Daphnia pulex: one gene and its partner. Each later gene encodes a partner of the first gene's protein in a complex. Links are inferred from orthologs where the notes say so. Each region holds a gene or a part of one and is shown on either strand. Other genes may lie near its edges.

Region 1 (3,769 bases):
GATTCTTGGACATGTTCTGTCTGTTGCGTTCCCAATTCCAAGGACAAATCTTCGTGTGTGGCATGCGAATCTCCAGCCCCCAATGCAGTAAAAGCAATGCCTATTGCTCCTGCTGCTGCTGCTGCTCCTGTTGCGCCTCCAACAAAAGGATTCGGTGATCAATTTAAAATGACCGCCGCTCAATGGGAATGTTCTGTGTGTATGATCAGGAACGCTGATAAAGACGATCGATGCAAATCTTGCGACGAAGCACGCCCGGGATCCAAGCCTGCAGTTAAACCCAGTTCGGTTTCAACCTTTAAATTCGGCATTCAACCTGGACAACAAACAGCTCCCAAGTTTGGAACGGAATCGTCAACTTTGACCCAAACAAAAGGGTTTTCTTTTGGGACTTCTAGCGAAAAGGAAGAAAGTTCTTCTTCTTCTTCAGGATTCAAATTTGGCGCCAGCATTGAAGTATTGAAAGATAAAAGTGTAACCCCTGGATTCAAGTTTGGAAATGTGATAGAACCCTCTAAGAAAATAGAAGCGTCTTCTAGCGAATCAGTAGTTGAATTCGTTGAACCCAGTAAAATTCCTGAAAAAGCAGGCTTTAAATTTGGTACATCGATTGAACCAAGCAAGAAAACGGAAGAAACAAGCGGTGGATTTAAATTTGGAATTGAGAAGAAACCAGAAGAAACCAAAGCTATCACTTCTACTGCGCCTGTAGCTTCTGAAAACACAGGACCCATCGAATTATTCCAAATCAAACCAAAAGAGCCAACACAGAAAGCTGAAGAACCAATTGTGTTTGGGCGTCAGACGGACTTGGCGACAGACGATGAGAAAAAAACAGTGGCGGATTCACAATTCAAAACTTCGGTCCTATCCAATCCAGCAGCGTTCAATGTTGCACCGACAACCACATCGTCAGCCTCTAAATCGAGTCCCATTTTTAGCTTTGCACCTGCAGTTCCTGACTCGAAGGTGTCTTTACTGGAAACCGGCAGCGTGATGGATATTCTCGGGAAGAAACCCGCGGCCCCATCGGACATTAAACAGGCTCCTGTCAGTTCGGCATCCTCATTTTCTTTTGGAGCAACGGAACAAACAAAGCCTACATTTGCGTTTGGCAAACCAGAGACATCGACAGAAAAGCCAACCTTCAATTTTGGTGAGGCCACCGAAAAAGAGTCGCAGATTCCCAAAAGTACATCGTCGATACCTACTACTACCACCACATCAACTCCGTTTAGCTTCACTGGAGGTGCGACGTCGACTCCTTCTCTATCGCTATTCAAACCGGCTACTGCGCCGTCTTTCAATTTTGGTGGCCCAACAGTATTTGGTGCTTCAGTTTCATCGGCACCAACTTTCGGTGCTTCAACAACTGTCGCAACGTCTACGAGCCCGCCCTTTGGCATCACAACTTCAGCACCTGCTCCTTCCACTTTTGGATTACCTACTACTACTGCGTCGTCGATTGCTTTCGGTCTATCGACCTCTACAACATCTCTCCCAACTTTTGGTTCACAAACTGCAACGGCCGTCGCCCCCACGGCATTTGGAATGACGGCTGCTCCCCCCAGTTTCAGTTTACCTACTACTACCACGAAATCTACCTTGGGATCGGCTGTTCCGGCAAGCTCTAGCTCCCTTTTTCCATTCGGTTCAGGTACGGGAGCTACGCCTACGACTAGCACGTCTACGGCCGCTGCGCCGTCTATGTCTTTTTCGTTTGGAACGCCACAGACTACGACCGCATCGTTCATCAATTTCGGATCACCTGCTCCCCCAGCGTATCAATTTCCTAAAGATGCCACCAAACCCGCTAGTAGTGGTGGATTCGGGTTTGGTGCTTCAACAACGTCCGTCCCATCGTCATTTGCTTTTGGATCTTCAAACGTTGCCACTCCGGTCACGACTCCTTCAGAGGCACCCAAAATGCAGTTTAACTTTGCAACTTCCCAGCAAACTACACCTTCAACGGTCGCTGCTCCTACTTTTGGAACTTTCGGTACTGGTGCTCCCAAGACCACGTCGGCTCCGTTTTCAGGATTCAATGCCACACCATCTTCTACTCCTGCATTTGGAGCCGCAGTATCGTCTCCGTTTGGTTCATTACAACCGACAGGTTTTGGGGCTGCTGCTGCTGCACCTTTTTCATTCAGTGCCCCATCGGCTTCTGCTCCATCCGCCTTCACTGCGTCATCTAGTTTCAATTTTAGTGGGTCTGCTGCTGCTCCTGCCCCCGCTGCTCCGCCTCAACAACCGCCCGGCCTCTTTCAGTTTGGCATGAATGCCGCTCCACCAGCCGTCAATTCGGGTTTCAATTTTCCACCGGCTGCGACGTTTAATCCTCCTGATGCTCCGTCTCCCGGGTTCGCTGCGGGTTTTCCTGGAGCCAACCCTTTTGACAACACCGGCAGCGCAGGTGGAGCCCGGAAAATGCGCAAGGCAGTTCGACGAAGATAGACAAGAGAGCAGCCCTTTGGTGGGGGTATGACCCAACATTAAGCGACTTGAAAACATTTTTTTTTTTTAAACTGTGTGTGTGTGTGTGTGTGTGCGGAAAAGAGCGTGTGTGCGCGCAAGTGTATGTATGAAATTCCCATGTGTAATTACTTCTCTCTTTCATCCCTTTACCTTTTTCAGAACTTTTCATGTGGCATTGAACTTGCCTTTCACATTCTCGGGGCCAATTGGAGCTTCAGGGCTCTTTTTTTTTTACATTAGAAGGGACACGTCGATGACCCGTTGTGATTTTTCTGTACAGAAATTAGTAAAATGCGAAATTAGATCAATCTGATTTCTTATACTTGGCAATCTGAGAGAATGTGCATGGCATTTCCATTCGGCCTTTTTCTTCATCTATATTTAATGTGTCTGCTCTTTACCAGGGGTTGAATTTAATGGTGTGTGAAATACTCTAAATTCAACCTCTTATCCTGTTTGCTTTTTTTCTTGACATATTACCTAACAAAATTCAAATCTGGAAGTCGTCATACATTACCGGAACAACCGACAAATTCATTTCTTCTGAATTGCGGGGGGGTTAGTTAGATATAATAATGTCGGGGAGTTTTACTTTGTGGAACTTGTGGGAAAAATTTTGTAAGCGGATCGACTCTATAAAATGAATTATTTTCTCTTCCTTGCTCAGTGGCTCTCATCTTACTTTGGAACCACGGCGATGTGAACCGATGTTATAGAAACAAAAGCGTTCCAACTAGTGCTCTTTCAAATAAACGACGTTGATTTGTGATTCAGTTATATATATCTCACACATCTGATACATTTTAATCATCATCTTCCAGTAAAGCAAATTTATTCGAAGACGCAGGGACTTGCTCTTCCTCGCTTTCATCATCTTCTTCTTCTTCACTCTCTTGATTAGAATCTTCCTCTTCAACCACCTCTGCGGCTGCTTCCAGCCAACCATCGTCTTTCATTTGACCGAGTGCTTGAATGTTGGTAATTTCGGCTACATCCGGGTGTGACTGCCATTTCGACTCTTCCGCTTTATAGTTGGGTGGCCGCAAGTACAAAGTGATTCTCCCCTCCAATATTAGTCTTAGAAGATGGTTGGCAGAACGAGCCACGTCGGGTCGGGCAGCCCGTTTGGTCATGAAACCTCGTTTGATAGCCCATCCTTCGCAGATATCGTAGGCCGACCATTCTTGACCTTCTGTTGCTTTCTCGCCACTAGGATGGCCCATCTTGAGCAATTCCGGCAAATTCAAATACTTGCCAACGTAACCAACAGCTGTGTAAGGCTCTCGTAGGT
Region 2 (4,227 bases), on another chromosome or scaffold:
ATAAACATTTCAGCTGAATCCTGTCTACTACTAGGTGGTTTCACAACTTTGACTTGAGAATAGTGTAATGCAATCTCATTCTCCAGTTGTTTGATTCTTCCTCCTGCCCATAATTTTATCAATAGCGTAGCTCCGTCCATAGAGATTTGTTGCGCGTAACGCAGCACTGAATATGCTAATTCTAATATCCTATCTTGATCCAAATCTCGTATACCCGATGCTGCAGGAGCCTAAATTTAATTAGCAAATATTAATTGAAATAATTTAAGGTAAAAAAAAACTGAAATAAAATCAGCCCTACCATATCACTTAGGACTGCATTAGCAAGTTGCCCACCAAGTATTTCTGTTATTCTGGTCTGGGACAAACTTTTTGTGAAATCTAATGGAGCCAAGATTACAGCTCCTTCAATTGGGTACCTGAAAGAATAAAATTGAATAATGTTAGTGAACTAAGGGTACCAAAACTTTGCAGCCCTTTTACATTGGTTGAAGATCAACTGCTACATGCTTTCCTTTAAGCTGAGAAGACACTGCATGAAATCCATAAACATTCTAGTGTCATTTTAATTAGGCTAAATAGTTAAACAATTCAATCTACCTTTTCCTGTTGCATTAATTCGTTTTACACATACTTGTGTCCAAGCACCAGGTGCAGCGCCACATTCTACAACCACATCTCCAGGTTTAAGGAATTTGTGTTTGTCATCAATTTCAATCAATTTAAAGGCACTTCTAGCTCTTTCTTGGTTAATAAGAAGTAGTAAATATTAGACAACAATTAAACTGAAGCTATAGCCTGTTAATTGAAAATATTGAAATCATAATTTTTATTTGAAAATTACTACCTATAATTTTCCATTTTGGCTTTAAGAACATACTCGTCATTCATTTGCCGAGTTAGCCATTCTTGAGAACTTTTACTGCGGCCCTTTAGCCGATCGGGCACTTTTTTAAAGCATGTTGAAGACGAACAAAACTGTCTTACTGAACAAACGGCAATGTTCATAGCAAAAACTTTGTTGAAACGGATATTTTAATATGGATCAAATAAATTCTTCAGGTGAAAAGCGATAAACAACTTGAAAGTATTAATGAAACAGCAATATAACATCACCTAATAAGATCAAGTAGACTATGATATTTTGTCAACAAACAAGCAGCCACGAAAATTGAAATTTCCGCTATCGACATTCGGCAGCACAGGTCATAGTTACCGCCGTAACCATGGCCATTGCAGTATGGTGTAAAACCGAAGCAGCAGACGACAGATTAGAAATATTTCAAAAAAGTACTCGTTACGAGTTCTGACTGTTAGTTGAAATCCTTCTGAATCCTACACACAATTACGATTTGTGACGTGATTTTCACGCATTTTACAGAATGCTTGAACCTATTGTAATAATAATTTCGAATTGTTCATGGTATACATATTTGTAACCAAACTTTCTTTGTTTTAGGGAATACAAGATCCTCTATTTGCATACAACAAAGATGTTGGGCATTCTTGGGGTTATGGTAACAGCTTGGCTGTATTTCCAACAGAATTTTCCAAGTCGATCACCTCTGGTAAGTTCTTTCTGGAAGTTAGCCAAAAAACTCCTACTAAGTTTTTCTCAATGACAGGTCCAGTTAGTCCCCAGACTTGTAAGAAGAAGCTTTATACAATTTCTTGGGAGCGAACCTTGTACAATCCTTTTGTTCGCAAGCTGGTCAATGAATCCTGTGGAGCATTTACTTCTTTACAAATTAAGGCTGGCACAGATGGCCAAATCAGCTCATCTGAGTTAATTAAATCCAGTCATCAGTATCGTTGTATAATGAATGCATGCATTGAAGATTTGAACCAAGCAGCAGATCTTGCTAACAGTGTTGAATCTAATCAAGCACTTCAAGAAATGAGTGAAATATTTTACAAAGCTGAGTTGGTGTGGAATTTGTGTGAAATTCTGTATCTTGAGAACCCACTTGGAATTCTGCCACACCTATTAGAATGGATTCGTATTCATTTTCCAAATGCAGTAGAAGAAACTGGTACAGTTTTAGCATCACCAAATCCTGGACTCCATGAAAGCTATTGGAAAGCTCTCTATGGACTAGTGTTTCAGTTACGCTTAGAAAGTGCTACCAAACTGTTAAGAATTCATCCTGATTTCCAGAGTGAAGCTTTTCAGAGTGCATATGAGTTGCTGAAGAAAATGCCAGTCTTTAGTGTAAGAAAGTTCTTGTAATTTAGATAGATTAACAATTTTTCTATCTCCTAAGTATTTCTGTTCTATTTAGGCCAACTCAACTGTTTCTGCTCCAGAGTTTACCTTCAGATGGAATCATTGGAAAGAAGAATGTGAGGCTCGCACTCAAGCTGGAGATTTCTTCGAATCAAAAGATTTAGAACTTCTAATGGAGGTATATAATGTTTTATATATAATGATCTCTTAATTCCCATTTTTATTTTCATTAGTTTATGTTGTATGTCTTTTGTCTAACTTACATAAACTTTCTATTTACTTACGATAAAGATACTATGTGGCAAAGAAGAAGCATTTGAAAAAGTTGGCGATCATTTCGAAACTTGGTATCAACGAATGATTACTCAGTTAACGTTCACGCAACCCACAATTGGAACGTTATCTTTGGGAGATGAAGCCGAACAGTTTTTTGCTTCCTTAATCGGATTAGATGATTTGACGTCACTAGATGCAACACTTTTGGCCGTTCTTCGTCGCGACACGCGTAAAGTGAGTATCGCTGTTATCAATGGATAAGAGTTTTAAGCAAGTTTGATAAGAGTTCATGCAAGTATCAAGACACTACCAACATAATTAACTGGAAACGTTTTATATCTGTTCAAATTTGTTGTCACAGGTGATTGGAGAAATGCAAGGAGTATTGGATAATTCTTGGTTTACGGCACATCTCGCTGATTTATTGTATCACGCCGGAGCACTTCAGTCGTTCGAAGACATTAACTCACTACAGCTGAGAGAAACTTTGCTTCGTGACTACTCGATTTGCTTATTTAGCCACCAATCCTTGTGGTCGGTTGGTGTTCTCTATCTTGACCATTGCCCTAATGTTGGTTCTGCGACTCTGGAACACTTGCTCACTCGACTTCCGTGCCAGTCGGAAATGAAGGCAACCAAAATAATTTCACTTGCCGAGCGAAGAAAACTAACATCAGTGGTAACTTCCGTCTGTCGTGTAATGGGTCGACGGGCCTTGGCCAATGGACGACTTGGTGCGGCAGTCGCTTGGGCTGTTAAGGCGCAAGACGCTCCTCTTGCTACCTATGCCGCCGATGCTGTTCTGAAGAGTTACCTTCAAGATTCAGATTTTACTTCGACGGACTTGCTAGACTCACTGGGTGCTGGACTTCTTGCCAGCGATCGATTGGCTTTCCTTGGGAAATATCGCGAGTTTCATCGTCTTTACAATTCAAACGATTTTCATTCAGCAGCTGGCCTTTTGATCTCTTTAATCTCATCACGGATTGCACCGAAATAGTAAGTAGCCTAACCACTAACCATGTTATCATAATTGCAGCTGCCTAATAATTATTGAAATTTCGTTTTCAGCTTTTGGACCGTTTTGCTCATGGACGCACTACCATTATTAGAAACAAATCCGCCAGTTTTCACTTCAGAACAAACTTACGAATTAATGCAAAGTCTACAGGAGTTGACGTCTTCGTTTCAAGATGATGCTGAAATCAACCCCCATCCAAACTGCCAACTCAATTCTGATAAAACAATGTTAATAACTTTAGCATTAAGTCGAAATTTGGCGAAATGTTTTGTACAACAAACTGTTTGTGATTAATGGGATGAAATTGTCTTTTCCACTTCGAATTTACTGCGTGGTATTAATCCACTTTAAGAGGGAAATTTGAATACATCCATATTGTGTTTCTTCTTTAAATAGTTTTCCAACAAATTTTCTGGCTGTCGTTCGTGTACCAAATTAAATGTTTTGTTTTTTTTTGTTTTTTTTATGACTGGACTTGATAAGGACTGTATAGCACAGTTTCTTTTTTTAATTTCATACCGTGCAAATTGAATTATGTAATTTGAGTGTGGTTAGAGTAAGAAAAAAAAAACAATCACGGAAACGTGAAAGTAACGCAGCAGATTCTGAGCAAAATATTGCTCATGACTGGACCTACAGTATATATAAGCAAGTAAAATGAATTGGCGATCGAAACTAAAGGTTGGTAATGCCTCGCGTAGTG

The links.
Region 2: nuclear pore complex protein Nup153-like (region 1) and nuclear pore complex protein Nup85-like share a complex: the UniProt entries of both Drosophila melanogaster proteins name them as parts of the nuclear pore complex. The link is inferred for Daphnia pulex from reciprocal best matches to the Drosophila melanogaster genes Nup153 and Nup75.

Annotation. Positions count from the first base shown.
Region 1 is NC_060021.1:248,872-252,640, reverse strand, and holds the end of nuclear pore complex protein Nup153-like, read left to right. Parts: coding exon 1-2,457; 3' UTR 2,458-3,247; downstream 3,248-3,769. Other genes in the region: guanine nucleotide-binding protein-like 1, read right to left, coding at 3,282-3,769. UniProt on the Drosophila melanogaster protein: Component of the nuclear pore complex (NPC), a complex required for the trafficking across the nuclear envelope. Functions as a scaffolding element in the nuclear phase of the NPC.
Region 2 is NC_060023.1:4,665,940-4,670,166, forward strand, and holds nuclear pore complex protein Nup85-like, read left to right. Parts: upstream 1-1,240; 5' UTR 1,241-1,382; coding exon 1,383-1,397; intron 1,398-1,459; coding exon 1,460-1,568; intron 1,569-1,625; coding exon 1,626-2,212; intron 2,213-2,282; coding exon 2,283-2,405; intron 2,406-2,518; coding exon 2,519-2,737; intron 2,738-2,864; coding exon 2,865-3,502; intron 3,503-3,574; coding exon 3,575-3,818; 3' UTR 3,819-3,917; downstream 3,918-4,227. Other genes in the region: rRNA methyltransferase 2, mitochondrial-like, read right to left, coding at 1-230, 302-419, 484-532, 601-740, 848-1,008. UniProt on the Drosophila melanogaster protein: Component of the nuclear pore complex (NPC) that seems to be required for NPC assembly and maintenance. Required for nuclear import of phosphorylated Mad via importin msk.